4 linked regions of the Notamacropus eugenii genome follow. The protein of the gene in region 1 binds, or shares a complex with, the protein of each later gene. Links are inferred from orthologs where the notes say so. Each region holds a gene or a part of one and is shown on either strand. Other genes may lie near its edges. The genes, in order: MED8, MED31, mediator of RNA polymerase II transcription subunit 23 and MED19.

Region 1 (7,019 bases):
CCAGGCTATCTTTTAACAAGCGCCCCAAAGCAAATGCCACCAGCTAAGTGGAGAAAGGGGCAAAGAGCCCCAGTGGCTGGGGTGAGGGGTGGTCTGGATAGAGACTAGAGGGAATGTGTTGCTCTCGCTGTGCTCTCCCAGGCCCTGCTTCTCACCGTGAGCTCCTCATCTCGGTCCGGGGACAGCACCAGAGGAATGATAACCTGGTTCCGGAGCAATGGGGTCTTCTCATGTTTGAGGACCTTGTTGAGAGTGTTCAGCTGTCCAGAGAGCAGAGCAAAGCTGTCCAGGACTGAAGGCCTAGTTGGAGTGGAAGAGATGGGAATAGGGCCTGGCTAAAAATGTGGGCTCTGACCCATGGGACCCCCTCGGGGAAGTAACAGCTGCCTGAGAGCCCTTCAGAGAAAGACAGAGATGCAGCCTTAGGATTCAGAGATGTGATGACCCTTTACACCCAGGCCCACCTAGAACAGATGCACAATCTGGGACTGAGACTGACATGGCTGCAGGAAAAGAAAAGGCTCTTAAAGCTAGCAAGGCCTGGATAGCCTATACTAAGCCTCCTCAGGAGAGAAGTTCTATAGGTCAAGACCCTGATTAGACCATGCTGTCTCCAAAAGACCTCTTTTAACGTATGAACTAGCCTCTACTTGCCAACGGAAACATAGTGGGCCTTCCCATGGACTGGCCTTCCTATGGCACCCAATGTATGGAAAACTGGAAGAGGAGAATGCAGACAGCAAAGTAAAATGACGCATCTTTCCTGCTGCCTCAGTGATGCCTTTGCCCTTCACTCATACCAGTGGACTGCCAGCATCTGGGGACAGAGGGGAGTCTGTGCTGACTGGGTTCCCCAGCTCTTTGTCTAAGGAGCTTCATCTTCTCTGGACACAAGTGCCTTAACCCTTCTCCAGCCCTGACTTGCACGAGGGGCTCAAGTCCTCCGGGGGGGCCCAGAAGCTGGGAAATTAAACTGTGACTGAGGAGGCTCAGGAGCAGCATGCCTGCCTCCTGCTGAGCTCTAAGGCCGTTCCGCCCACCTGCCCTTACCAGGTAAGCCGGTCATACTCGTTCTCCAACTTGCAAATAAAACTTCCCAAGGAGCTCTTCAGATCTGCCACTTGATTCAGCAGTGCGTCCACTGATGCCTCCAGCTGCTTCTCTTCCCTCTGCATGGACAGAGACCAGCCAGTCAGCCTAAGGTGGTCAGGGCCCAGTGTGCCAGACACAGATCTCGACTTAGAGTCCATGGGGCACCTGGTGTCTGATGAGAAGACTGAGAAGCCCCAGGGAGGGGTGAGCAGGAGGGGCTAGCTGGCAGGGACACAAGTCTCACCCTCACTGCACCAGGCTGCCTTTTCCTTCTGAGTCCTATTAGGGTCCTAATGGGCAAATCCCAGGACAGAGCCCAGAGCCCCAGGCCTGGTGAAGACTTGATGCAGAAAAGCCAGGAGGGGAGGGAAGGGTGTCTGCCCCTTCCCCAGGGTCTGCGTGAGTGCTGCTGACTGCCCAAGACATGCTGCCTCTATTGCACTGGTACCATGTGGCACAAGAGGATCCCCAGAGGGCCCCTGGGCACGAAGCGTGCTCCAGGCAGGAACAAGGCTATGGTGAGAGACTGTGTGGGCACTCCATCCTGAATCTCTGGTGACCACGGGGAGCACCTGCAGAGACAGGGCAGAGGTGGGCCATCCCATTCAGGGCAGGATGGAGGCGGTCACCCAGAGGCGGGTTAGGGGCCACCCTGGGGATTGGCATGCCACACGCTGCATCCTGCCCCCCACCTGCATTTCTCCCGCCCCTAGCTTATCAGCAGCACCTCATTTCTTCTAGGGCCTACCACACCCTGGCATCCCTGGGGTGTCTGCACCAGGCCCTGACCTTGGGGGCCCCTCCTGAGGCAGCCTGTCAGGCTAGCCTGGATGCTCCTGCTCAGTGACACAGGACCAGGACAGCCTGCCCCCACCCTGGTCCCTGGGTCCCTGTGGGATCCTGACCACTCCTTGATACCTGGAGGGCAGAGAATGAAAGGCTCCATCCCTCCCCCCGCCAGAGTTTGCTTTCTCTAAGTCTGCCCTTGGTAGGTCAGCCCTCGGCATGTGGGAGCTCCCCTCCCGGCCACACCCGAGCCCTGCCCCTCAGGACATCTCCAGCCCTCGGCACACGGATCCTCCTAAGCCAGGTGTGAGCCCTGACGACCAATCAGACCATTCCCTGGGCACGGTCCCTGACCGGGGCCCTCAAGGAGCTTGGGGGGGGGGGGAGGAGGGGGAGGGGTGACCCTTTTGCTCCTCTGTCCTCCCACGACAGCCTACACTGGCTGATGCCACGGTCCGGCCTCCCTTCACACCCTCCGGAGAGAGTGGCCCAGGGCACAGACGCTCCCCGGGCTGGATCTTAAAGCCCCTCCTAGCTAGGCTCCCACCTACTTCTCCAGGCTCATTGTGGATGATTTTACCCAGAGACACGTGGGTCCGGCTGGACCTCTTGCCTCTGAGCCTTTGTCTCGGCAGACCCTCCTTCCTCGAATGCCTTCCCGCTGCAGGTTTCAGTAAGCTCTTCTCCCTTCCACGTCCCCTCCCCCACCCCACGCCCCCTCCCCCTCCCCCCGCCCGGGGCAAAGGCGGGGTAGGCTCGCTGCATATATGGCAGACCCTGGCTCACTCAAGGGTGCCTTCCTAGGCCTCAGTGTCTGTACGTAAATTGAGGGCAGGGTAGAGAACGTCGCGGCCCCATCGGGCTACGGGTCCGCCCACACCCCAAGACACTCCCCGGTGTACGCGCTCCTACGCCCCGGGGGGCCCCCAGCTTCGCTGCAGCGCCGCGAGCTCTTGGGCCTGGCCTTCAAGGTCTCCTCCGCGGGATCTCGGACCCGAGGCCGCCTCGCTTCCCCCCGCTACCGTCAGTCCAGCGCTTACCTGCATCTTGTAGGCTGCAGGAACTTCCCATTCCGGGGTACCGCCCCCTAGCTTCCGCTTCCGGAAGCACCGTCGTCGAACCCCGCGACTTCTCCGGGAGCTTCCGACGCGACGGCCGAGCGCTTCCGGGTCGCGGCGGGTCAGAGGTCACCCGGGACCTGACAGCCATGGCGGCGGAGTCGGCCGAGGTAAGGCTGGGGCGGGCGGTCCCGGGAGCTCAGGGCGTGGGTGCGGGGCCAGGCCTGGGGGCAGAGCGGCCCCCCGCAACCCCCGGGGCGCCGGGTCTCTGAGTGCCGAGCTCCCCGCGCAGGTGGACGAGGCCGCGCACGTCTTCCTGCTGATGCGCAAGGGCCACCGCATCTCCCGCAACGTGCGCCTGGCCTGGTTCCTGAACCACCTCCGCCAGCCGGTGCGGGCCGCCTCGGCCGAGGAGCTGGTGAGTGGGGGCGGGGCGGGGCGGGCGGGGGGCGAACGGGGGGCGGGCAGCCCCCTGGCCCCCGCGGCCCCTGACCGCCCCGCCCCCTCCCCGCAGCTGCGCTCCGAGCCGGAGCTGGCCGTGCTCAGCGTCCTCCCGCCGGGCTGGCAGCCGGACGAGCCGCTGGGGCCCCCGGGCCGGGCGCTTCTGCTGGTGCCGTCCACGCGCGTCACCTTCCTGGCGTGGCGCTACCGCTTTGTCATCGAGCTGGACCTGAGCCCGTCCACGGGCATCGTGGTGAGGCCCCCCCCAGCCCTCGGCTGCGGGGGGTGGGGGGTCCTGCCCCTCCCCCCGGCCGCTGGGGGGCTCCCCTTCCCCCACCCCACTCCCCCTGCCCAGCACCCCCATTCTCTGACCTGCCCCCTCCCCCCAGGATGACTCCACCGGAGAGATTCTCTTTGACGAGGTATTCAGGGCCCTCTCCCGATGCGTGGAGGGGCTGCTGCGGCCCTTCCGAGTCCCGGGCTCCTCCATCACCTTCCAGCCAGAGATCTACGTGACCATCCAGGCCTACTCCTCCATCATCGGCCTGCAGTCCCACCAGGTAGGGAGGCTCCTGCGGCGGCGCGGCCGCGTCTGGATCGAGTCCTCCTTCCCCGCCCTGGGCGCGGGGGTCCTAGCGCCTCCCCTCCCAGCCCTGGGCGCGGGGGTCCTAGCGCCTCCCCTCCCCGCCTCTGGGCGCGGGGGTCTTAGTGCTTCTCCACGTTTTGTGCCCTTCCCCCCACGCCCAGGTGGCTGACAAGCTTGGAGTCAGGGCTCGGACTCTTAGGCAGGTGACGCTCACAACTCACTTCTGGGAAGAACGTGGTTAGCGACCACACTGACTGCACAGGGTGGTGGGGAGGATCAAATGTCTTTAAATACAGCATTCTAAATTCTGTTGTGACATCTTGCTTTCCGCCTAGCCTTGCATAGTTATGCCCCAGTGGGTATAGCTGGGGCCTGTACTCCAGATACTCCCCTGCCCACCCCACCCCCTTTACCTACACTTGTGCTATCCTTGCTGCTCTTACTATGTGGTGGGACCCCATACCCTGACTCATCCAGAATCAGGGGATCTGAGGCATCTGATTCAACTAGATTGGAACAAGATTTTCCTCAGCCTTCTCAGACAAGTTACCATCCAGTGAGGGGGTGAGCCCACCCTACTAAGCACTTATTACACACCTGCTGTATGCAGGGGGATCCAGCCAAGGGAGGCGGGAAAAGCTCCCTAAGAATTGACCTAAGTCTTGAAGACAGGCAGGCTTCCAAAAGGCTCAGGTCAGAAAGGAGAGCATTCTTAGGATGAGTCACAGCCTGCGCAAAGGCATGGAGGTGGACCATAGAAGATGAATGCTTGTGTATGGGTAACAGCAAGTAAGCCAAATGGGAAGTGATGTGAAATCAGTCTTGCAGCTGGTTTTGAAGGGCTTGCAGTGCCATACAGGTGTTTCACTTTTGTCATGAGGATCGTGGGGTCCCAGGTACAATAAGGGGAGGAACACAAAGGTGGCAGGGAAGGTTAAGAGTGATTGTACTGAGGAGGATCCCTTTGGCTTCAGTGACAGAGATGGATGGAAGAAGGAAAGACCAGGCATGGGGCCCAACAGGAGGCTGCTCTGTGTACTCTTTCCATGAAGGGTCAGTGAAGGGGACAGCTTTATGAGGGGAGATGAGGGAATGGACGTGGACAGTGTGAAGGGTGGATTGACATGGCTTGGTGACTGGCTGACTCCGAGGAGTCAGTGAAAATGGCTGAGGGCGTGAACCTGATCAACTGGGGAGAGGTTGGTGACCTGGGCAGGCTGGGCAAGTCAGAAAGTTGGGCCCGCAGCACAGATCTTGCTCAAGAGACCTGCAGGAGGTCCAGGCAGGGCTCTGGGACTGGCGTTCCAAAGAGATGTAGAAACGGTAGTGAAATCCAGGGGGCTGATGAGGCAAAGAGAAGAGGATACCTGGGGTCAAACCGTGCTTTCCAGGCGAAGGGGAGCCTGAGAAGATGTGGTCAAACAGGAGAGCCTTGAGAACAGGGCCAGGACCTGTGGAGGGAGAGGATGCAGCCAGTGTTTGGTGCAGCCAAGAACTGGGATTTGGCAGATCGACATGGACCTTAGAAAGCCCCCTCAGCTGGAGTATGGACAGAAGCCAAGGCTTAGAAGTTCTTGACTTCAAGCTCAATTCTGTTCCCCGCAAGTTTTGCTTCTTTCTTTGCTCTTGGGAGCCAACCAGTGCCAGTCTACAGCTCTCCTATGCCCACCTCCCTCTCTCTGCCCCCACTACTTCAGGCTCCTTCCCAAATGGAGGAGAACCCATCTTACATCCTCTCCGTGCCTTGCTCCTTGTCACGGCCTTCCTGAAATATGGTACCAGTCCTCAGTGATGGCTGTGGCCACCTCTCCTCGTGGGTGCTTCTGTACCAAACTGTTGACAGCCCACCAGGACCTCCAGATCTTTCTTAGCCATGCCATTCTGCCACTTTTTCCTATGCTTTGCTTCTGCAAATGTTTTTGAAAAGCTATGCGAGATTCTGGCCATGCCAGTGCTGCCTGCTTCCCATCGTTTGAGGGATTGCCGTCCTGTCTGTGGATGAGGGAGCAGTTCTCCCAAATTGGCCTTTACAGACAGACCCAGGAACCCATGTTGGGACAAACTCAGCACAAGAACCGCCCCGAGGTGCACCGCTGTCCTAGGAGGGCTGCAAGAAGATGTTGGATGGCCACTGGTTGGGAGCCATCCTCAGTCCCCATCCTCCAGTCTGCTGCAGCATGTGGAGATCTTGTGGGGAAGCACAGCCTTTCACACTTCCCTCTTGTTGTTCACGTTGTGTTTTTTCTCTTTTTCCTGGAATTTTGTTCTTGAGATTCTCATTCCTCATAGACTGGTTTTCTTTGTTGAATTTCATCTTTGAAAGGGGTTCACCTAAAATCTAGGGGTGTGTCTGACACATTTTTCTGGCACAAATCCGAATCACCATTCACCACAACCTTGTACCTTCTGTGTGAGGCTTGAGAACGTTTCCTTTTTCTGTCCCAGTTGGTCTGTGGTCCCCTCCTGTGGCCAGGTTGCTGCTCTCTGCCCGTGGTCTTTGCTGAAATAGTGTTCTCTGGCTCTGAGTTCTCCTCATGTGACTTTGCTTTCTTGAGATCTAGTGCTCAGTGGTGTGCTTACCTCCCTGCCTCTGCCCCTCCCTCAGCCAGGCTGCAGTCCTGGGCTTCATCTCAGGCCGCCTTTCCTCCTAGGTCACAGCTGCTACTCAGCAAAGGGCCTTCAGAGGCCGTGCCTACCAGGATTGTGGCTGGGTCATTGGTGTCTTCATTATGGCTGTTTTTATTGGTGGAAAGACAGAGACAGCCGTTTCCTCTCTCCACTTTCTTTTTTACTTTCAAGCCCTTTTGCCTAAATTTGTGAAAACCAGTCTTTGCAAGGTTCTCTCCACCTGGCAGGGACTGTGCTTGTGAATGAAATCCCATTGTCTTCTTCTCAGTCCCCATCATCTTAATCAGCTGCTCGCTTCCCCAACCTCTGATGTTCCTTCGAATCATTTGCCTCTGTGCAGCATTTATGAAGGACGTTTTGGGTGACAGGCACCGGGGCGACCAAGACTCCATCCCAGGCCTTGTCCTCTAGGAGCCTGCAGCATGAAG
Region 2 (7,998 bases), on another chromosome or scaffold:
GGGGGGAGGGAGGTCTGGCCTAGAGTCCAGGTTTTGCTGCTGGCATGCTGTGTGGATGGGGGAAGTCACCTGCAGCTGCTCTTTGATGCCTCCTTGGCCTCCTTGTCTGAGGCAGGCGTACAGTAGGAAGCCCCAGGTACCCGGTGGTGAAGGCCTGGGTTATGTCCACCACCCCCACCACTAGCTAGAGATCACTGTGTGCTCCATGCTGGCTCACACACTGATTCTTAGATGTTCTCGGGCTTTCCTGAGTGATGCTTGATGTTCACTATTCAAGGCAGACATTCCAGTGCCAGGGTTTGTAGTGCCCAGTACACATTTGGAACTCAGCTGGGCTCATTAAATAAAGGACAGTTAAAAGGGCAGGGGTGTGTGTGTGTGTGTGTGTGTGTGTGTGTGTGTGTGTGTGTGTGCATGTGTGCGTTGGGGGACATGCTAGAGTAACTCGAACTATTGAGAAGCTTTTCTTTCAGTCTCCCATTATTTGGGCCACCCTCCCCCACCCTGCCAAAGGGTCTCCATCCCGATGGGTTCTGCAGGTGTGGAAGGTGGGCCAGGTCCCAGGCTTCAGGAATGGAATCTACCAGGGCCACTCTTCCTCCTGACAAGTGAGGGCCTGTCCAAAACTCTTCTTTCTGGAAGAGTTGGTGGCTGCCTGTAGCTTTGGGCTGAGCCCTAGCATGTCTAACTGGCCTTTGAACAGTTGCAGGCCCTCCAGGGAAGGCCAGACATAGGCACGCTCAGCATACAGACTGCACTCCCACCCAGACCTCAGGGGTGGGACCACATGTGACACAGGAGGATGCTGAGATCTAGGGGGAGAAACAGCCTGACCAAAGCTGGTGGCAGAGCCAGAATTCAAGGTCAGGCTTCCAAAATCTCGGCCTGGTCATTAGGCCAAATCTGTACTCAGACCCACGTTCTGATGAACTCAGTCTTGTGATCAGCAGGACAACATGAGACTTGACAATAAGGACATCTGGCCCTTCCTGACCGCCTCTCCCTGGTCAGCATGCAAGCCCAGGACAGGTTAAGTTAGGTAGACAGAGAATTAGAATTGGAGATAGGACCACCTGAGTTCAGATCTTGCCTCAGACACTAGCTGTCTAGTCTTCCTAGATTACTGACGCTGGGCAAAGCCCTTAACCTGCCTAAATCTCAGTTTCCTTATCAGGAAAAGGGGACAGTAGCCATGTGTGCCTCCCAAGGTTGCTATAAAGATCAAATGAGATGGTATGGTAAAGCATTTTATATGTGCTTCTATGAGACAAGGAAGCAGGAAGGACCAGCTGGGGACTGGGATTCTCTCATGCTTCCTGGGAGCTTTCCAAAAGATGCAGCCTACCTTCCCTTGTCTCTACTGTGTGTCCTCTGCATATCTGAAAATAATTTTACCTCCCCTAAAGGGTGGCCTGAGTCTCAAAGGGTGGCCTGGGTTCTAAAGGAGTGGCCCGGGTTCTAAAGGAGTGGCCCAGGTTCCACAGGGAGGCCCAAGTTCCAAGGATAGCCCCGGTTCTAAAGGAGTGGACTGGGTTCCAAGGATGGCCCAGGTTCTAAGGGGTTGCCCTGTACTGGTGGGTACTCTCTCTCACCCATACTTCTGCTGCTTGGTGGTTCAAAGCTCTCCTTCCTGCTTTCAGGGGCCCAGATCAAGCACCAGGTGGGGCCTCCCTGTGACTCCAAGCCCTCCCCTGCTCTTCTTTCAGTCTAGGGGTGCATTTCCCATTTCCATCCAAGACCTAAGAACTAAGCCCAACCCCAAATCAGCAAACAGTGAAACAATCCCAGGAAAGATCAGGGCCTTTGCCAAGAGAGGAGCTCAGGATCAAAGACAAAGGAGAAAAGCCATCTTTGGAGAGCCCCATCATCAGATGAAAGGCCAGCGCCAGGTCAGGGCCACAGGAAATCCTCAGGGTCTGAGAAGCCCCTCACAGCTAAGGCTTCAGGGGACTTGGAAATGAAGGCCCTGGATCTGAAATCTACCTCTGCTATTTCTCACGAGTGACCTAGGGCAAGTTATTTTCTCTATGTGGACCTCAGTTTTCCCAGAGGACACTTAAGATTCCTCCCAGCTCTCCATCTGTGAACTAAACTGAAGACTGGGGATGCTGAAGCAATGACCAGATGGCTCCTGCCCCCTTGGCCTCTCACCAGCCTTCTCTCATTGCCCAGTGAAACCTCTGCTTGGGCACCTGCTGCCCCCTACTGTCCATTTTTAGCCTTAATGAGGGCAGGCTTCCGACATCCATCCAATTCTGCCAAGGTGCGAAGGTCCAGGCTGCTTCTGCTCAGCTCCGGGGCAGTACCAGGGCCAGTGAGGGGGAAGGTGGACAGGAAGATTAGGGCTCTATTCCTGCCATGAGAGCTGTTCAGTGAAGGGTGGAGAAGAGCAGGGTCCCTAGAGAGGCAATGATTCCTGAGGATGCTGAGCTTTGGAGGGGCTGCTGTGGGACATCCCTCAGCTGCACACAGGACAGTCTGGCTGGCTTGGAGAGCTTGTGAAGGTAGCTAAGTGAGTCTGGAAAGGCAGACTGGAAACACACTGTGGAGGCCTCTGCCCACCACTCTGGGGCATTCTCACTTGATCTGAGAGTCAGTGGGGAGCCATAGTTTTTGAATGAGGGAGTGAGGTGGTCAAAGATTTGGGCCTTTCCCATCCACCATCATCCCTTGGCACACAAGAAGCAGCTTTGTCCAGGGATGATCCAGTTCTCCCCATGCTGGCCAAAGAACCTTGGTCCATGGCTTTAGGAGGCGAGCTTCTCTTTCCCTTCCTCCTCTTTGACCCCCAGTCTCCTGAAGTGGATTTGGACTCTCCTTGCCACTGTGAATCTTGATGACCTGGGGCATTGCCTTGTCTTCCGGGATGTAGATGACCCTGAAACCTCTGTATGCAAAACTATTTGCTCCAGGAAGAACTTAATGCACAGGGCACTGAGTAGGCCATAGGAAAGTCCAGCTGCCTTCCATGCTGCTGGGATCCTCTGCCTTGGCCATCTTGGGGGCTCTCTAAGGAGCACAGTGACTTGGGAGCTCCAGGGCCTGGTCTGTTAGGGATCCTTCACCTCCCACTGCCTGTCATCATTTTTAACCCAAACAGAAGCTGTTCCACAAAGGCAATCCAGTTTGTTCCCTAGTATACTAAGGAATCATGACTCACATCTGGGCCTCCTGATGGCTAGCTTCGAAGCCTATTTCCATGTGCTGAACTAGACTTGCGTATTGCCCAGACCCCCCATTCCATGCTTTCTGAAGAGCTCCTGTCTCTAAAGAACTGTGCAGTGCATCCTCAGAACAGCCCTGCAGGGTGAGGAGGGTCTATTACCTAATGCATGTTTTTCTGTTACCATTTTAGCCAGAAGAAGTGACAAGCCCAGGTGACAGGGTCAGTGAGGGTTAGAGCCTGGGCTTTAACTGGAATCTCATGGGGGGTGAGGGGAGGGGGCTTCCCACGATGTCTTGTTCTTTCTTCTACTCTGATGCCCTCCCCCAGTCCCATCTCCCAGTTCGGTTGAGAGGGATGAAGGAGAAGTGACCCACCCTAGCAAAACAGGTCAGATTTACCCTAGCCAGAAGGAATGTCTCCCTAGCACAGACTTTGGAAGGAACACGTCATGTTTCCTCCTCTCTACTAGAGTATAAGCTCCATGAGTACAGAGACCTGGCCAGCTTTGTTTTATATCATCCCCAGGCCCTCACACAAGCTGTGAGCACACAGCAGGCACTCCAGAAGTATTTGTTGGGTGCATGGATAAGTAAGTAAGGAAGAGAATGGAAGAAGGAAGGAAGGAGGGGAGGAAGAAAGGAAGGAAGGGAGAGAGGGAGGAAAGGAACGTCATGTGGGAGGGGCAGAGAGAACAGTTGGGCTGGGTGGCTGAGTGCAAGAGGGAGAGGAACAAATGTGAAGTGAGTCTGAAAAGGCAGGTTGGGGCCAGCTGTGAAGAGCTTTAAAGGCTAAATGGGCAGTGGTGTGCAGATAGATGGTTAACAAGCAGTTCTTGAGGGGCAAATGAGACACTTTACAGTTTAATTTGTGTAATTAACATTTTCTCCACCACTTTCTTAAGTCTAGACAATCAGCACAACAATCCCTCCAACTGTGATGTGTGGGGTTCACTGTCTCCCAAGGTGTAAATGATCACACTGAGCATGGAGCTGTGGGCTCCCCCACTTGCTGGGCAGCTCTAGGTGACTTCAGCAAAGCCCTGTTAGCAGGGATTTTATATTTCCTTCTAGAAGCTGTATAGAATTGTTGGGATTATTGAGCAGGAAATCACATGACTGGATCTGTGTTTAAGGATGTTACTTTGACAGCGCATTCTAGGGCTGACTGGAATGGGGAGAGACTTATCCATACCATGGATTTGCTTGAGTTCCTGGTGTGAAAAATAACTCATTCAGGCTCCAGAGAGATGAAGATAAAAGAAGAGTTTACAAATGCACTGCAGCGTCCTGCTGGATTGACACACCCTCCAGAAACAAAAGGAAGCCTTAAAAACCCATGCCCCACCACAAAGTCCCTCTCCTGTCTCCCTAGAGGCTGGGTAATGCAGGGCGTACAGGTTTCTGATCCTCCCTCACATGTTCTCCCTCTCCTGTACACACATCGTGTAACCACTGAGATGAAGCCTTAGCCCTCCCAAAGGAGGAGAATGGGCATTCCAAGCAAGACTTTACTCCGTTGACTTCTAACCTCAAAGCAAGATAAAACCCAGCTGGAAGCATGCTTTGCTGCGTGAGACACGAGGAAGGAGTTATGTCTCCCACTCTGCTGGTTGTTATTCTAAATTTATGGACACACACTTCTCTATTACGTGTCTCAATTTTCCTTCTGCTGCTGGAAGATACTCTAGTGCTAGTCTATGCTGTTAGTGTCTTCTACAGCCAATTTACTTTCCTGCATTTGCTGCAAAGTCAAAAGACTTCCTGGTACGCATGCATCCCCTGGATTAAAAAAGTCACATATTACATAATTTTGGTGGAAACAAAAGGTTGTTTTTATCATTCCTCCCAGTCCTTCTCCAGCTTATTTTACAGATGAGGAAACAGAGGCAAACAAGGTGAAGTGACTTGCCCAGATACAACTAAGAGCCTGAGACCAGATTCTAAACTAGGTCTTTCTGACAGCAGGCCAGGCACTCTAATCACTGTGTGCCACCTAGCTGACAATTATGAGGGAAGTGGCCCTATTTCACAACAGAGGAATGGGGAGAGACTTGTGTCAGGCAGACCACCAGCAGGCTTCTTCAATAGTCCAAATATGAGATGATGAGGGGACTGCACAAGGTGGTGGCACAGGTAGAGAGATGTTACGAAGGTGACAGGCCTTGGTAACTAATTAGATCTAGGGGTAAAAGGGAGGAGTTCAGAACATCCCCTAGGTTGCAAATCTGGGTGACTAGGAGGATGGCAGTGCCTTCCACAGTAGTGATTGTGTGGTTTGTCCTTCATTCTTGAAGAGGACCATAACATCAGGGAGATGATGACATGATTTGCAATTGACTTTGATTTGAGTGAGGGAGGGCTATGCAAGGCAACTTTCTTTTCCAGAGCCATCTGGGTTCAGGGGCCAGATATCCATTAGGATCTGGAGGAGGATGCAGTAGGAGATCTCAGCCCTTTTAAGTCTTCTCAAGGGATGATCTCTTTAATGATAATAATAATAAAATCAAACTGGAAGGGGAAGACTTTCAGGGTTGCTGGCCAAAAGAGAAACAGTTAATATTTGCATTCACTCTAAGCCAGGAGGGCCAGTAAAACAACCATTAAGGCAGGGATCTACTGTGGTCAGTCCTTCAGATCCAGGGTAAATTGGGTTTAAGGCTTTGTCTTTGAAAAAGAAATCTAGTCAGTAAACCCCAAGTTTAAGAAGGAAGCTTTCCACCATCAAAATTTACATTCCTTCGGACAGAACATCAGAGAAGGGAAAGTAGAGGAGAAGGGATCGGAGGAAATGGAAAAAGAAAGGGGAAAGGAGAGGGAGAGACTTAGGAGGAGAGGAGCCTTCCACATTAATAGAAAAATGAAGAATGGAGGCCTGTAATGTTTGAGACATGCTGAGCTGAAGAAGTCTACAAGACATCTTATGGGAGATGGCCAGTAGACAGTTGGAGGTCTCCCTCCCAAAAAAATCGGCAACGCAGGAGACCCAGAGAGGCCAGGCAGTAGAGTGAGCTAGGTCTCGGGGCTGCACAGCAGGATCAGTCAGAGATTAGATGTTTGGTTTTTCTCCAGGGCATTTTTCCGGAGTTACAGATAGTAAAGTAACAGTGTAGCCCTCACGCCCGACCCCAGGGATTGGATTTTGCGCCCTACCCAGGTAGTTACTTTGTATACATCCTCCCCGTACAGCTCCTAGTATAGAACGCGTTAATTTCAAGGTTGCTCCTTCCGCCCCCTGCCCATGGCTGCTTGTGGTTACTTTGTATCCATCCGACAGTAATCTGTCCGACTTAATTTCAGGATCGGGCTCCCCATCTACAGTTACTTTGAATCCATTCTACCGGGGAGAAGTCTCCAGACCCAGACAAAGTCAGTTTCAGGGGCTCCCCTCGCGCTCCGCCCCCGTAACAATAGCTGCTACATTGTAATTCAGCTCCTCAGCAGGTTGACCTGTGCCTCGGGTGCTCGGCGGCGGGCACTTACAAAGCACCCAGCCCCATGCGGCCCGGAGCCCAGGCGGGGTGGAATTCTGTAGGGCGCAGTGATCCCGAGGTAGGGTGGCCCCGCTCCGCGCCCCCTTTCCCAGGCAGCTGCGCGCCTCTCCCTGAAGCACCGCCCGCAGCCCCTCCTCCACCGCCCATCTCCCGCCCCCTCTCCCACAAGACGCCGCGGCACGCAAGCGCGTGGGGTGGGACGCGGCGCAGGGTCTTAGGGCCCGCGGTGTCGCTGGCGCGGCTGCGGGAGCGGGGCGGGGCGGGGCGGGAGCTCGCTTATGGCCGCCGCCGTCGTCATGGAGACCTCGGGTGAGTGCAGGCTCCTGGCCGGTTCCGGGCTGGGGGGGAAGTGAGCTCCTGGCTGCGGCCCATTTCGCGGTGGGAGGACTGCGAGGCTCGGCTGGGGCGGGAGCGGAATCTCACGCGGCTCCGGACGCGCTGAGCTCTCCTCTCTTCCGCAGACGACGCCGGGAACCGGCTGCGCTTCCAACTGGAGCTGGAGTTCGTACAGTGCTTGGCGAACCCCAACTACCTGAACTGTGAGTCCCCGAGGCTGCTGAGCTGGGTGCTAGAGGCGGCTGGGGAGGCAAGGGCAGGGTCCCGACTGTGTGTGGTTTTTATTGACAAGAGCAGGGCTCAGGGCACTAGGGCCAGCAGGTAGGGGAAACTGAATCTGCTGCCAGGGAATGATTTTGAGACTTTGGGGTAATCCTGGGGCTGAGCTGCCCCAAGGCATTGAACATCATCCTTAGTCATACTCAGCACTGAGAAATGCCAAAATGCCCCAAGCTGTTCCCTTTTTCTACCCGAGCTTCGACTCTAGTAATTGAGCTTTGTTCAGCCTTTCTCTCCAATCACCTGTTCCTGCTTACCTCCTTATCTCTTTTCATCCATCCATTTCAGTGTCCCTCCCTCCACCCCTTTCACTTTCTTAAAAGACCTAGCTGAGTAGTTGGTCTGGGATGGTGATCTGGCCTATCGGAGAGGGGCTGGCATGCCCAGCCCTGGGAGGGTTTCTCTTGTCTGCATCCTGTGGGTGAGCAGGTGGGCCCCAGAGTGACTTCTTTGTCTTCCAGTCCTTGCCCAAAGAGGGTACTTCAAGGACAAAGCTTTCGTCAATTATCTGAAATACCTGCTTTACTGGAAAGAGCCAGACTACGCCAAGTACCTGAAGTAAGTCTCAACAGCGAATTCTGAATTTGGAAGCTGATGTTTTGCCTTAGAAGAAATAATACCTGACTGGCTTCCCAGGTGCCTTCTGGGGGTTGGCAGAGTGCCAGCTGTACTTCATCCTTAACTCAGGCAGCTGTTGGGAGTCAGGAAAAGTCAAGTTGAAATGTGG
Region 3 (7,825 bases), about 290 Mb from region 1:
AATAATTCTAATTTATATCTCTTAGAATCTCCATTTTTCTATTTAGATATTTTAGATATAGTAAAGGAAATATTCACGATATGTTCTTTGAATAATTTACATAATTCCATTTTGAGTTCAGGACCAGGGGGAGGGGGGATCAGATTTGTGATTTCACTGGTATAGTGAGCTCCTTTCTGGATCCAGATAATCCCTGTATCAATGCATATCTGCACCTGTTCCTCAGTTTATGGTGTTAGAGAGTTATCTGGGCACACTGGAAAGTTAACAGGGTTTGTCTAGGGTCTCCCAAAGTTGGGATTTGAACCCAGGTCTTTCTTATATCATTGTGACAACGGCAGAAAGTAATGATAACATTATAATATACACATGTAGTGTTTCCTATTAATAGGCAGAGAGAGAGAGAGAGAGATACATAGCATATATCACCAGAAAAGGCATGGGACACGATCAGACCCAGGAAAACAAACTAGGTCTCAGAAACATATGGAAATGATGGGGTACTTGGGTGCATGTGCTTGGATCCCAATTCTAAAATCACATTTCTCTTTAAAAATCACATTTCTCCCTAGCCTCAAAACACAAAATATTCTCAAAATCTCAGGCAGGTTCTCCTCGGCCCAAGGACACAGCCTGCCCCAGCAACAACCATTATCTCCCTTCCTGATACAGCAGCCACCTGCACCTATGGAACTTATTAGTCTGAATCAGCTGTGTACTGGCTGATCTGGCTGTGTACTGCATCATAATGACATTTACTACTCACTGACCAATCATATGTATCCTAGACTTAGACATATGCATACTCCCTTACATTTATCTTGTCTAACAAGACATTGATGAGAGCAGCCTGATTTTCCCTGGTCAGCCCTGACCATTGGTTGACTTAGTGATGTTTCAGGCCTAAAACCACACCTCCATGTAACACCCTCTTGGGCTATTTCCTGATGAACTCTGGATAAAATACCTGTGCCGTAGATATGAAAAGTGCATGTTCCTTTAAGAACTAACCACACCCTGATCACCTACTTAGCATATTTGGCACACACTATACTATAGAATATCCTATATAAACTTTACCTCTATCCCTCTAAAGTGGCAGTTTCCCTAAGAACTCTTGTGCTAAAAAGCATAATAAATCTTTATCCTGACCTCAACAATGCTTGAGCCCATGAATTCATTCCATGTGACCTGCCCCTGGTACTCAGGTCTCTGTGGGGGTCTCAAACTCCTCCCTTCCAGTCCTCATCAGAAATATCTTTCCTCCAGATCTCTTTCTATTCAAACAGGAAAGGATACATTCTGAAAAGATTGTAATGTAAAAATTATAGAAACATACTAACCTTTTTAATTAAGATGAAAATATTAATATAAAGTATTGCTACAGTTTAAAGTTCTTTCCAGATTTACCTTAAGGGAGGAAACTTGATCAGGACTTAATTGAATTTCTTGGCAAAAAGAATGCCCTTCACTAAAATCTTTTATCTTAGTATTAATCTCTTTCTTTTAGGAAAGTATGTATTGTCTGGGCTGTTGTGTAGTTTTGTAAAACATGTCCATAATAGTCACGTTGTGAAAAAAAACACAAAAAAAACCCTCAAGAAAAATAAAGTAAGAAAATATACTTCAATCTGTATTGGGACACCATCAGTTCTTTGCCTGGGGATGGATAGCATTTTTCATTATAAGTCCTTCAGAGTTGTCTTGGATTATGGTATTGCAGAGAATAGCTAAGACATTCACATTCTTAGAATTTTGCTTTTACTTTGTACACAGTACATTTCACTTTGCATCAGCCCATGCAAGCCTTTCCAGGTTTTTCTGAAAGCATCCTGCTCATCATTTCTTATATGTAGTACAAATAGTATTCCATTGTAATCACATACCACAACTTGTTACACCATTCTCCAGTTGATGGGCATCTTCTCAATTTTTAATTCTTTGTCCTCAGAAAAGAGTTGCTATAAATATTTTTGTACATAGAGATTCTTTTCCTCTTTGTTTTTTGTCTCTTTTTGGGACACTGGCTTAGTAATGGTATTGCTAGGTCGAAGGGTACACATGGTTTTATAGCCCTTTGGGCATAATTCCAAATTTCTCTACAGAATGGTTAAATCAATTCACAACTCCATCAACAATGCATTAATGTTTCATTTTTCCCACATCCATTCCCAACATTTGTCATTTTCCTTTTCTGTTCCGTTAGGCAATCTAATAGGTAACAAGTAGTACCTCAGAAGTGTTTCTATTTGCCTTTCTCCAATCAATAGTGATTTAGAGTACTTTCTCATATGGCTATAGATAGCTTTGATTACTTCATCTGAAAACTGATCATATATTTTGATCATTTATCAATTAGGGAATGGCTCTTATTTCTTATTGAAGTAGACATTATCCCCCCCCCCCCCCGCCCCGGAGCCCCTGGGTTGAGAAATGTCTGTTGAGTTTCTAGGTAGGGTTGGGCCCCCCTTTGCCTAGTAGCCACTTTCTGTTGTGCCCCCCTTGCCTAGCAGTTGCCCCCTCTTTGCCTAGCAGCCACCCCCCCTTTGCCTAGGAACCCACTCTCTGTCGTGCCCCTTTGCCTAGGCAGCCACTCTCTGTTGTGCCCCTTTGCCTAGGAGCCCACTCTCTGTTGTGCCCCTTTGCCTAGCAGCAACTTGGGCCCCTGTCAAAACTGTTCTGTGAGATATGTTTGCTGTTAAAACCACAAAGCTGTACTGAGAAGTGCCGAAATGCTTAAAAGGCACACACACACCTTTTTCGCGGCTGCCTCTTCTGGGTTTTTCCATGAGACAGCCGCTGGCTAATAAAGACGCTCTCAAATTCTCAGGTGACTCTTGCCTGTGCTTTTTCTCTCTCTGTCCATTTCACTTATAAATCTGAATCAGTTCTCTTTTGTCTGAAAAATGAGGCCTGTTATCAGAGAAACTTGCCTCAAAAATTTTTTTCAGTTACTATGGCTAATGATATTTTCCTCCATCCTACTGAAAGCCCTTGCCTTCACCTCACCCTTGTTTATTCCATTATCTGCTTTCACTCTGTTCCTCCTCAAGTGTTTTGCTTCTGACTACCCCCTCCCCCAATTTGCTCTCCTTTCTATCACCCTTCGTTTTTGAAGAAGACCATGACATCAGAGAAATGATGACATGACTTGCACTTGACTTTGCTTTGAGTGAGGGAGGGCTGCGAAAGGTCACCAGCCTCACTTTCTCCTCCTGAGCCATATGGGTCCCATGACCCATCAAGATGACTGGAGGTGACCCAGGATGCAGTGTTAGGCTGGCCTTTTCAGGTACTCACTTCGAGGGAGGTAAAGACCATTGAGTGAAAAGGCCTCTTTAAGAAGTAGTCAGGGAATGGCCCTTTTAATGAACAACAACAACAAAGAAATAACTAAATCAATCCGGAAGGGAAACAGAAAATGTTACCATTGATAATCACTCTAAACTAGCCATTAAGTGGAGCTTGGGCAGGGTGTTGTCTGGAAATTGTATTAAGGATGGTAATCAAGTTTAGAAGGAGTAATAATTCAGATGTAGTTAAGATCATTGCCCTCCTTGGTCCCTTCCCCCTTCCCCTCTTCTAAAGAGAGTTGTGACTCCTGGCCAGCTCCTGCCCAGAACATCCCCTTCCTCTTTCAGAAGTGGCACTTCTAAATGTGTCCCCCTGCACACAGCAGGCACGAAATAAATGCTTCTTGTTTTCTGAAGCGCCCTCTTCCCTCTCTACTCCCAATGGCCTCCTTATGGAACATCGAAGCCCAAAGCTCCCTGCATTACAGAAGTAGGAGAAGGAGGGAACGGGAACGTCACATATAAAGCCAGGCATGGTGGATGTGTCGGCTCCTTTCTTTTGGACTGTTCTTCCTCATTCTTTCCCATCTACCTGCTTATCTAGCCCTCTTCTCCTGAGTGCCAGTCCCTCACCACAAACTGTCTATTCGATATTTCTCCCACTGGCATTTCAAACTCAACATATCCAAAACAGAAATCAATTTTTGCACTATGTAGCTCCTTGGATGATGGGGAGAAGGTTCTATTTTCAAAAGGAACTGTGTTTTTATATTATGTGTATACACATATATGCACTCCTATATATACATACATACACAACCATCGCTGATAAAATATATTTATATATTTTAATGATGTAAGTACTATGAAATATAACTGTTAGATAATACCTAACAGGTACACGGAAGCGCTTTACAACTATGACCTCATTTGATACTCACAGCTACTTTGGGAGACAGGTGTTGTTACCGTTATCCTCATTTTACAGATGGGGAAACTGAGGCAGGCAGCGATTAAGCGCCGTGCTCAGGGTCACAGAGCTGGCGTCTGGGGCCAGTTTTGAACTCAAGTGTCCCGGACTCCAAGCCCTCTGCTGTATCCGCTGCCTCGGGCCAATAAAAAAAAAAGGATAAAATTCATTTTCCAAATTACCATCACACAAAGGTGCAGAACAGAAACGTCCTCCACCAGCCAACCAGCGCTTATTAAGCCCCCAAGTGCTGGACACTGAGCTGAGCGCGGGGGACATAAAAAAAAAAAATACGCAGCTTCCCACTGCCTAAAACAGAATAAAATTATTTAGGAAGAGATTGAGGTGGGGGGAGCGCAAGGATGCTAAATAGAGGAGCCCGGGCAGGGTGGATGAAGGAGCAGACAAACAGGTTAGGGAGGAGACTCCCGGGGGCGGGGAGGGGCGGAGCCTCCGCGTGATTGGCTGGGAGCGCTCACCACGCCCCTCCCTCGCCTCCCGGAAGTGCCCGGTCGTTGGCTCGCGTCTCCGCCCGGCGTTTCCGGGAGGGGAGCGAGCCGGGCGTCCCCGCGGCGCCGCGCTGGGTACCCAGCTGTGCGGGGCTTCGCCCAGCGTTCGGCGCCGAGGGAGGGGTCCGGGCGCGCGCGGCGCCCACGCTCGAGCCGGGCCTCCCGGGGCTGCGGCGGAGCTCGAGCCGCGATCGGAAGAGGAGGGCTGTGGGCCCGGCCCCGCCGCCCCGGCCGCCGCCGCCATGGTGCAAATGGAGACGCAGCTGCAGAGCATTTTCGAGGAGGTCGTGGTGAGTGCGGAGCCGGTGCGGACCGCAGGAAGGGGAGGAGGGAGAGAGATGCCTTCCCCTGCTGTGGCTCCCCCAGCATGGATCAAACGCCTGCTGTGTGCCGGGCCAAGCGCGGGGTAGCCAAAGAGAAGGAAAACCAGGCCCTCGCCCTCCCCAGGGGGGAAGACGGTGTGCACGCAACCTCGCGTAAGCAGTCTGCCGTGATCCATGAGAAGGGATTCTCTCGGGGAAAGCGCTAGCGACCAGGAAAGGATTCTTGCAGAACGTAGAACTGGAGTGGAGGCCAAAGGGAGAAGGGAGAGCATGCCAGGCAGGGGGCACGGCCCGGGCAAAGGCATGCAGGCTGGAGATGGAATGTCCTGTTCGAGCACCAGCCAGAAGCCCGGCGTCTCTGAGTTAACAGACTATGCAGAGGGGAGCGGAGAATAAGATTGCAAAGGGAAAGGGGCAGAAGTGGGAAGGCCTTTACACGTCAAGCATAAGATTTTATATTTGATCCGAGACCTCCAGGTGGGAGTAAGATTTGTCCAGTCAGACTACATAGCTGCTACTCATTTTAATGTTTTCAGGCCAATTTCTTGGGAGCCACTGGAGTTTATTAGGTAGGGAGATGAGCTCGGCCCTCCAGATAGGAAGTTTGAGGAGGACAGAGTTCGTGGGGGATTTCACCCCTTTTATTGGAAAGTGCAGGTAATCCAGAATCCCACAGCTCATCGTGTTGAGCGCACGGTTTACCAAAACCCTTAGATCTGTTTTTCAGAAGAATGGGGCAGACTGATGACAAGTAAAGAGGCCCTAGGTGAGGGGGAGGATCCAGCAGCTGCCATGGTCATGTGCAGTTGGGGGCCCTCCAGGCCAAGGTTTCTGAGCCTTCCTGGGAGCTTCTGTGTCTTGGCTTAGAACACTTAGAGATGAGGTCTTTCCTTCATGGGAGAAATGGTGAGGACGCAACTCCTTTGCCTTGTACGTTCCCTCAGGCTCAGGTGGCCTCCCTCCTCTCTGCCACTGCAGCTCCTAGTCCTTCAGAACTCCTCAAGCGCCCCCTTCTACACTGGACCTTCCCATTTCTTTCAACTATTACTGTTAATCCTCTAAAATTACCTTGTATTTGTGCAAGGCCTCTTATTTTATGGATAAGAAACAGGCCCAGCATGATTGTGACTTGCCTCAGGTCACCAGGCTGTTTCCTCTGATAGAATGTAAGCAAATTGAGAATGGGGACTGTTTCATTTATTTCTGTATATGCACAGAATACAGTAGGTGCTTCATGAATGTTTCTTGCTTGGTTGATTAGTCACTCCAAGCTAGTTTTGGTCCTTTAGTCTGAAAAAGGTTCACTTTGACTAAACCTAATGTGCTTTATTGAAGGTCACACAACAAATCAGAGTATGAGAGCCCAGACAAATTGGGAATATATTTAAGTACTCTTAAAATTTAATGGCGTTTTTTTTGTTTGTTTATTTTACAGAAAACAGAAATCATAGAAGAGGCATTTCCAGGGTAAGTATAATGCAAGATAAAAATCCGTTTATGTGGTATCTATTTCTTTCCCTGTCCTTCTCTAGTTTCTTGTCATTCTGGATATCCTTTAATAAGCACAATATTTGGTAGATAATGAGGGATCTGTGCAGGGTTGCTTTTTAATCACGATGGTGACCATTTGTATGTAGCAGTTGGTAGCAGATGATAACAGTATTTTCTTTCTTTAGCATGTTTATGGATACACCAGAAGATGAAAAAACAAAACTGATCAGCTGCTTGGGAGCTTTCAGACAGTTTTGGGGTGGCCTTTCTCAGGTGAGCACTAAAGTTTAAATAATATCTCATATGTAATGTTGTGATTTTAAAATATTTTTACATATGCTATCATATTTGATCCTTATAAGCCCCATGAGGTCGATAAGACAAGGATTTTCTTTTCAAACTTCATCTGGCAGATGAGAAAACTGTGTATATAGTTACTTGCTTTAGATGGGGAAACCAGGACTAAAATTTGTATACATTTCATTATATTGCTTTAATATAAGCAGCTCTCCATGTTGTTTTTTAAAGATTCAAGGAATGGGGATTCTGTAGTCTCTTCCTGTGTTTAACTGTATTTTGTTGGTGGTGGGTAGGAGTGAGATTCATTATGTCAAACTAAATAAGAATATTTTAATGTCTTTAAAATCTGTATAGTAGCTTTCCTGTAAAACTTTGGCAGACCAAAAGGTCAATTTACAACATAGGAGCCAAGCATTCTCTTTGTTCCCTTGTATTCAGAAACAGCAGGAATCAGCAGTGCCCTATGTAAGTTTTTTTTGTGCCAGAGGATAGAAAAGATAGTAAAGATACTTTCAGTTGGGAAATAAGGGAAGACAGGAACACTGATGGAAGTAGAGGCAGGGCCTTACTCCTTTGGTTTATCTGCAGAATCATATCCATCTTAAAGGTGGGAGACTTGACTTCTAATCCCAGCTTTATCATATATTAGCTTCATGACCTTGGGTGAATCACTTGCCCCCACCCCTTTCTCTGAGCCTCAGTTTCATCATCTGTAAAACCACAGGGTTGGATTAGATAAGGATTTCTTATCCTGGAGTCTGTGAACTTGTTTTTGAAAAAATATTTTAATGTGGTTTTTTTTGTAAGCTTATATATTTTATTTTTAGGCATTTAAAAACATTATTGGGAGGAGGGGGTTCCATAACCTTTACCAGACTGCTAGAGGGTTTTATAACAAAGAAAAGTTAAGACTTTAAGAACTTGAATAGATAATTTCTA
Region 4 (7,210 bases), about 500 Mb from region 1:
ATCTCATCCGGCTATACTCTTGCTTCCAATATTGCCTCTGAGGAGGATGGACACACCTCTATCTCCAATCCTCACTTCTTCCTCAAACTCCAATTCTATACCTCCAACCTGCTGTGAGACAATTCTACTTGGTTTCTCCAGTCAACTCAAGTTCAATATTTCTTTTTTTCCTAATCTTTTAAAATAAAAATTAAGTTTTGATTGATCACAGCTGGTGGTACAATGGATAGAGGGCTGGGCCTGGAGTCAATAGTTCAAAGTCAGAATCAGACACTTACTAGCTGTGTGACCCTCAATAACCTCAACTGTAATATGAGGATAATAACAGCATCTACCTTAGGGTTATTGTGAAGATCAAATGAGATATTAAAAAAAAAAGCACTTAGAACAGTACCTACCACATAGTAGACACTACAGAAATGCTTATTCCATTTCCTTCCCTTTTTAATGTTACCATAATTTCCCCCAATATTCTTCCTCCCCCCCAGATAATAAATAACATTTTTTAAATAAAAGAAAAAAATTTAAGAATAAGAGGAAAAAAATCAGCACAATTGATCAATAAACTGAAAAGGTCTGAAAATATGTACAATGTACATTTGTGGATGGGGTGGGACTCATATCTTCTTTCACGCCAGGCTTGTTCTTCATAATTTCGCACCATTCACTTTTGATTCTGTTTACCTTGTAGTGATTGTGTGCATACGCTGTTTCCTTGGTTCTGCTTACTTCAGTCTTCGCTAGTTCATGTAGATCTTTCCATCCTTCTGTGTTCATCTTATACTTAATTTCTTATAGCATATGGACGCTTTAGTCACTTTATACGCATGGCTTGGTTGTACTAATTTGCAGCTCCAATATACTAGTGATATCTACCCACAACTGCTCTAACACTGACTTCCCACCTTTTGTCATCTTTGCCAATTTGCAGGGTATGAGGTTCCTCAGGGTTGTTTTGTTTAGTATTTCTCTTATTTAGTGACCTGGAGCATAGTTTCATATGGTTGTTAATAGTTTACAATTCTTTTGAAAATTGTTCATATTCTTTTTACCACTTATCTACTGGGGAATAGCCTTTGATATTTTATTTATCTGTTAATCATTTCTATATCTTGACAAACTCAACGTTTCTAAAACGAAACTCACCACCCTCCCCTGAAATATTATTCTATACGACCATCTTCTTACTTATCAATTTCTGTTAATGGTCACAGAAGAGTAGTTTTAGAGCAAGAGTGAGCAGGGACCTTAAAAACCATCTAGTTCAACTCCCTCATTTTACAGAGAACCGAGAGGTTAATAATCCAAACAGGTTAAGTGACTTGTCCATGGTTCCAAAGGTAATCAGTGGCAAAGTCAGGATTTCAAATTTTGATTTTTGTAGTGAATTCAACACTTTCTACTGCACCAAAGACCACCCTTCTGTGTCACTCAGGTTTGAAACATCATCTTTGACTCTTCTTTTTCTCTTGCTCCTACATCCAAACAATCATAAAGTTCTGTTGATACTTTGCATATATCTCTTAGATCTTATATCTAACCTCCCTTTACTTCCTAGACTTATGACCTTAAAATCTGCCATTCTGCTTCCAGTTTTCCTCTCTCCTCCTGCCGCCCAGGGCCATCCACTCTTCTTTTTCTTCAAGATTATGAATAACTTCAATATTGAGCTTAGCTGTCACTGTCTCCCCCACCCCTATACTGATCTTGCGATGGTTCCAAATGCTCCCAAGGTCTGTGAAAGGACTCCTCTTTAACTTGCCAAGTGAGGGTAGGTCTGCAGGCTTCGTTTAGTGGCCCCGCACTGTGATGAATGCTCCTATTCATGGGAACCTCCAGCCAGGTCATTCCCTACGACATTCCTGAAAAACACCACAAGCCCTCTCCCCACTGCTGGAAGTGCGGGGCCCTGTCGGCTAGTCAAAGAAGACAAGTCTGCACTGAGACGGCGATCCGCATAAATTAGACTACCTGCCCATGCGCCAGTCCACAGTGGGCAGGACGTTAGGAGGTGTTGGGAGGTGGTTTGAGGCGCTAGATCCTGCCTTGCCCCGGTCTCTTCACAACTTGTCTTACTTGGGTAGCTCACCAGGAGGAGCCACCCTGGTCTCCATAGCGAATGTCACAGGCTGCTTTATGGAGCACCTTACGAAGACTCACCCATTTTACCCCCTCAACAACCCTGGAAGATGAGGTGCTACTATTATGAAATCCAGTTTACAGATGAGCAAACTGAGGCCGACAAAGGTTGAGTGACGAGCCACCAACAGACAATTCATACGGCACTTTAAAGACCCAACAAGCGTTTACTGCATGGTTACTAGGCCGCGGTAGCACCGCTAGCTAAAAATTTCAGGAGTTTAGAACCCGGGTCCTCTAGACTCTATTAGCCTGGACTCCACAAGCCCGTTCATTGGCTGGCCCGCTCATTCGGTCCCGCCCCTTCGGCTCTCTGATTGACAGAAATACCTATATATCCCCGCCCTCTTTGCCCCATTATCTGTCGCTTCCGCTCATTGGCCCACAGCCCCAACCGTCAAGCCCTCCCTAGCAGCTGATTGGCTAGTTTCCAAGAGCATCCGTACTCACCTGGGAGCTCCCGCATCAGGTAGAAGGGCCCGCACCCAGCTGCGGCCTTGTCAGCACCAGGAGGAACTGAGGCCGCGGTGGGCGGCGGGACAGTTCCAGGGCCCCCACCCGGAGGAGGAGGCGGAGGAGGGGGCGGCTTCCCCGGCCCAAAACCCAGTGCGGCCGGTGGCGGCGGCGGCGGCTCAGTCTGGGCACCGAAAAGAGCTGTGAAGTTCTCCATCGCGTCGACCGCTCTGCCTCTGCCTCTGCCGGCGCCGCCGCCGCCGCTGCTGCCACTTCTGCTGCCGCTTCTGCCTCCGCCCACTCGGAGTCTAGCACCGCCGCGGCCTCTCATTGGGCCACCCTCTAGTGCAGCACCGCCCTCCTCTTCCTAGCGCCTCTATTTATTGGATGCGTCTGGCTCCACTGGCCGAAGAACTTCCGTCGCTCTAAGATGACGTAAAGGAAATGTAGCTCAGTGACCAGAAAACGCCTATCTCTCCGCCCACCCTGTTCTCAGCATCCAATCAAAGAGGGAAGCCCTGAGAGGCCAGCCTTTCAGAAAGGCCGTTCTTTCAGCTACATCCAATCATAATTCAGCTTCAGGCTGAGGTTCCGGAGAGACAGAGGGGCGGCCCAATTGGAAAGCCCGGATGGCAGGAGGTCGAGGAACCGGTTCGGCGTCCGGCAGGTACTTTGGCTGAGCTGCTGCGGCGGTGGTGGCGCTTGCTGCTTTAGGGGGAGGAAGATGGCGGTGTTGGCTCCGCTGCTGGCGCTGCTGTACTCGGTGCCGCGGCTCTCGCGATGGCTGGCTAAGCCGTACTACCTACTGTCGGCGCTCCTGTCGGTGGCTTTCCTGCTCGTGAGGAAGCTGCCGCCGGTCTGCCTCGGTCTCCCCACGCAGCGCGAGGACGGCAACCCCTGCGACTTTGACTGGGTGAGCGGAGGAGGTGGCCCCAGGGTCACCGAAGGGCAGGGTGGGAATGACCCTCCGGAGCCCCGGGGGGGCAGGAGCCTTGAGCCAGGCCCGACCGAATCGGGAGGTGCGGGAAAAATTGCCCCACAGAGCCCAGGCCCACCCGGTGCCACCGCCGTGACCTTGGGCAGCGCCTTCCATCGCGTTAGGACTGAGGGAGAATTGGCCCGGATGCCTCGGCCCAGATCCAGGATCCCGCGGCCTCTGCTGTAAAGCCAGTCTGGAAGTGAAGGGGGCGGCGAGAAGCCGGGTTACAGAGTCGGGCAGGAAACAAGCCCTTGCCGCCTCCCAGGGCGGCAGCCTTCCTTTCCGTGTCCCTTTAGAGCCTGCACGGAGCAGCACCGCCGCCCTTGGAGCCCAGGGAGGGGAGGGCGCTTGCTGGAGCAGAAGACCAGCTTCTCCATTGGCTCACCGTGAAGTTTTAAAGGACAAAAATCAATTTTCTCTCCCTCCTGCCACTTCTCATTAAAAAAATCTTCCGAGTAAAATTAATTCCCGTATTAGCTTTGTCAAAAAAACCATCTCTTCCTTCACGTTTAGTGCGTCATCTTTCAGGAGGTGAGTAGCTTGCTCTCTCCAGTCCCCAGGATGATGTGTTGGTCATTTAACTGTTGTCATTCATCGTTCTGGTCTGTAAAAGTTATTTGATCTTTTCATCGACCGTTCAGTCTTTTGACTCCAAATCCATTGGTCTTTTCACTAACCCATGCTGCCTTTCCAAGCTTAGTCACAGCGGACCCCATACCTGAATTTACAGCTGGGGAAACTGAAGCATATAGAGGGGAAGCAACTTGACAAATGTCAGAAAGTTAATAAGTAGTGGAGATGGCACACACACCTGGATTTTTGGACTTCTTAAGTCCAGGGTTCTTTCTAGTATATCATGTTTCATTAAGTGTCTGTTGTATATGTAGCACTTCATCCCATCCTAAAGGAGATTAATAAGGTCTTCAAGTAAGAGTATCTTTGATATGATGATAATAAATTAGAATACCTCCCTCCCTCCCATTTCTGTAGTAATTACAAAGCTCTTTCCTCACAACCTTCACATGAGACTACCAAGGTGAAAAAGATGATTATTGCACTCCTCAGAACTCAAGTTTCACAGAGGAAATATATGACATTCCTCCTCTCCATCTCTTGTTTTTGCTCCCATGGCCATCATCCTTGTTCTAGCCTCTTTATCATCCTGTTGAAATATTGTCATAACTTCCTAGAAAGTTTTTCTGCATCTATTTTCCTTCCTCCAGTATGTCCTTTATGCCATTGTATAATAGGTTTGCCCAGAGATTGAGTTATGTTATGCCAGGTGAAAATATCTTCCCTTTTGCCTTTCTTTAAATTAAATTTTGTTTTTCAGTCAATATCTCAACTCCAGTTCCCTGCCCCAAATCCTACCTCCATGAGAAAGAACGAAAAAAAAAAACAACCGCTGTTATAAACATATAATCAAGCAAAAGAAATTCCCACATTGACCATGACCAAATAAATTGGTCTCATTCTTCATTCCTCTTTCAGGATGTGGTAGCAGTTTATCAGGAGATCTCTGGAATTGTGTTTGCTCACTGCTTTGATCAGAATTCCTAAGTCTTTCGCAGCTCTTTACCTTTCCAGTGTTGCTGTTATTACATAATTGTTCTGGTTCTGCTCACTTCTTTCTGCATCAGTTCATACAAGTCTTCTTAGGTTTCTCTGAAACTGTTATCATCATCATTCTTACCACACACTAGCATTCTGTCACATTCATGTAGCATCATTTGTTCAGCCATTCCCCAACTGACAGGCGCTTCTTCAGTTGTCAGTTCTTTGCTATGGCAAAGAGAACTGCTTATAAATATTTTTGTACATACGGGTCCTCTTCTTCTTACCTTCCATTGAGACATAGTAGTGGTATTGCTAGGTCAAAGTGTATATATGAACAGTTTAATCGCTTTGTGGACATAAGTTCCAAATGGCTTTCCAGAATGACTGGACCGGTCCATAGCTCCCGCAAGAGTGCATTTTGCCTTTTTTTTTCCCACAGGCCTACAATATTTGTTATTTTCCATTTTTGGTTAATTTTGCCAATCTGATAAATGTGAGGTAGAACCTCTGAGTTGTTGTAATTTGCATTTCCGTAATGATTAGTGGTTTGGAGCATTTTTTCATGCAGCTATTAATAGCATGGATTCCTTCATCTGAGAGGCCTATTCAGATCCTTTGATCATTTGTTGTTTGAGGAATGGCTTTTACTCAAATAGTTCTCTCTGTAACTTAGAAATTAGACCTTTTGCCTATAAAAAGCCTATTGCGTTTTCAAGTTCCAAATTCATGGTATTACCCTGCTGTTTCTCCACCCCTCCTGTTATATTTGCTATGACTTCCCATCCAGGTACACTTTGCTTCAACCAAACTGTAGAGCTTTGTCTCTTACTCCCTACCCTCCCTGCAGCATGTGTTACTCTGTTCTCATTACTGGGGTGTTCTCCCTCTCCCCCTCTGCTCTTTGAATTCCTACTTGTTTAAAATCCAACTTTGATGCTACCTCCCCCAGGAAGCCTTCCTAGAAGTCTGTCTTCCTGTCCCTTATCCTCCCCACCCCCATAATTCAGGCGGTATTCTGTTTTGTACTTGGGCACATAATATCTGTGTGAACTCGGACAAGTCATTTCACCATTCCTGGATTTAGCTTCCTCACCTGAGCAAAGTTTCCTTTCCTTCACCAGATTTTCCTTCCCATGCCCCACAAAGTACTTTGAGGTGGTTAGCTAAACTTTATGAGCTCCTCCACCCCTCCAGGATCCACCACAATGCTTTGCTCACAAGCAAACATCTATTAGATGTTTGTTTCTGTTGTTCTAAGCCATATTTCCACCTTTGAAGCTGAGGCTTTCAACAGACCAGTGTGGAGAGGTGAAATGTCTTCCCTTTTTATAAAATGTCTAACAGGTGAGGCTGTCCCTACCCACAGTCAAATTCTGAATTTGTGAACAATTTTACACTGTCTTCCCTGTCCCCCTTCTTTCTTCCCTGTCTCTTCTTTCCTGCTGTCCTGCTGTGTCTGACCTCAGACTTGTTCTCCTACTTTGAACACTTGTAGTTCACCATTAAACCATGAGTTCCTCCAGGGCAGACTGTCTTTTGCCTTTCTTTGTATCCGGCACATGGTAGGCACATAATAAATGACTGAGCAGATGGACACCTTCTCTAGCTTCTGCTTCAAGCATGAGACTCACCAGTGTTCGCTCCCTCTGCCTTTCATTGATGACAGAGAATTGGGACAGAAAATTCAGATTTCAGATGTGTGCTGAAGTCCATGTTGATTTTGGCTCATTTGCTTACCTCTTTGGGGTTGAAGCAGGTTGAATGACTGCTCTGCTGTTGACAGTGATATTCCTAAAAGAGACAAGAAACTTGTCCTGGAAAATTCTTATTCCTAAGCCTAGAGTAATTTGGTTACCCGTAATGAAATATGATTGTATTTGAGTATGAAAGTATCTTTTTCCAAATTCTTCCTGAATGGACTGTTGGCAGTTTAGTGATCACAGATGTTCACCTCATTCAGAGAGCTGCTTCCAAGTTGGTGGCTTTTTGCTAGGTTTAAGTCCTCCATACAGAAGTAGTTATGTTTGGTGAGTAGATGGATGGCATTGATACAGGTTTCATAGGCATGGATAGTTTCACAGT

The links.
Region 2: MED8 (region 1) and MED31 share a complex: the UniProt entries of both Homo sapiens proteins name them as parts of the mediator complex. The link is inferred for Notamacropus eugenii from reciprocal best matches to the Homo sapiens genes MED8 and MED31.
Region 3: MED8 (region 1) and mediator of RNA polymerase II transcription subunit 23 share a complex: the UniProt entries of both Homo sapiens proteins name them as parts of the mediator complex. The link is inferred for Notamacropus eugenii from reciprocal best matches to the Homo sapiens genes MED8 and MED23.
Region 4: MED8 (region 1) and MED19 share a complex: the UniProt entries of both Homo sapiens proteins name them as parts of the mediator complex. The link is inferred for Notamacropus eugenii from reciprocal best matches to the Homo sapiens genes MED8 and MED19.

Annotation. Positions count from the first base shown.
Region 1 is NC_092873.1:504,905,077-504,912,095, forward strand, and holds the start of MED8 (mediator of RNA polymerase II transcription subunit 8), read right to left. Parts: upstream 2,932-7,019; 5' UTR 2,925-2,931; coding exon 2,919-2,924; intron 2,552-2,918; coding exon of another isoform or gene 2,529-2,551; exon of another isoform or gene 2,271-2,528; intron 2,183-2,270; exon of another isoform or gene 1,170-2,182; coding exon 1,051-1,169; intron 301-1,050; coding exon 156-300; intron 1-155. Other genes in the region: KICSTOR complex protein SZT2, read left to right, coding at 2,529-2,551, 2,932-3,106, 3,229-3,354, 3,451-3,630, 3,767-3,937. UniProt on the Homo sapiens protein: Component of the Mediator complex, a coactivator involved in the regulated transcription of nearly all RNA polymerase II-dependent genes.
Region 2 is NC_092877.1:388,544,688-388,552,685, forward strand, and holds the start of MED31 (mediator of RNA polymerase II transcription subunit 31), read left to right. Parts: upstream 1-4,993; 5' UTR 4,994-6,934; coding exon 6,935-6,965; intron 6,966-7,117; coding exon 7,118-7,195; intron 7,196-7,732; coding exon 7,733-7,829; intron 7,830-7,998. UniProt on the Homo sapiens protein: Component of the Mediator complex, a coactivator involved in the regulated transcription of nearly all RNA polymerase II-dependent genes.
Region 3 is NC_092873.1:216,607,332-216,615,156, reverse strand, and holds the start of mediator of RNA polymerase II transcription subunit 23, read left to right. Parts: upstream 1-4,807; 5' UTR 4,808-5,014; coding exon 5,015-5,062; intron 5,063-5,075; exon of another isoform or gene 5,076-5,248; intron 5,249-6,530; coding exon 6,531-6,562; intron 6,563-6,771; coding exon 6,772-6,859; intron 6,860-7,825. UniProt on the Homo sapiens protein: Required for transcriptional activation subsequent to the assembly of the pre-initiation complex. Component of the Mediator complex, a coactivator involved in the regulated transcription of nearly all RNA polymerase II-dependent genes.
Region 4 is NC_092873.1:3,310,392-3,317,601, forward strand, and holds the start of MED19 (mediator of RNA polymerase II transcription subunit 19), read right to left. Parts: upstream 3,004-7,210; 5' UTR 2,924-3,003; coding exon 2,590-2,923; intron 1-2,589. Other genes in the region: TMX2 (thioredoxin-related transmembrane protein 2), read left to right, coding at 3,317-3,505. UniProt on the Homo sapiens protein: Component of the Mediator complex, a coactivator involved in the regulated transcription of nearly all RNA polymerase II-dependent genes.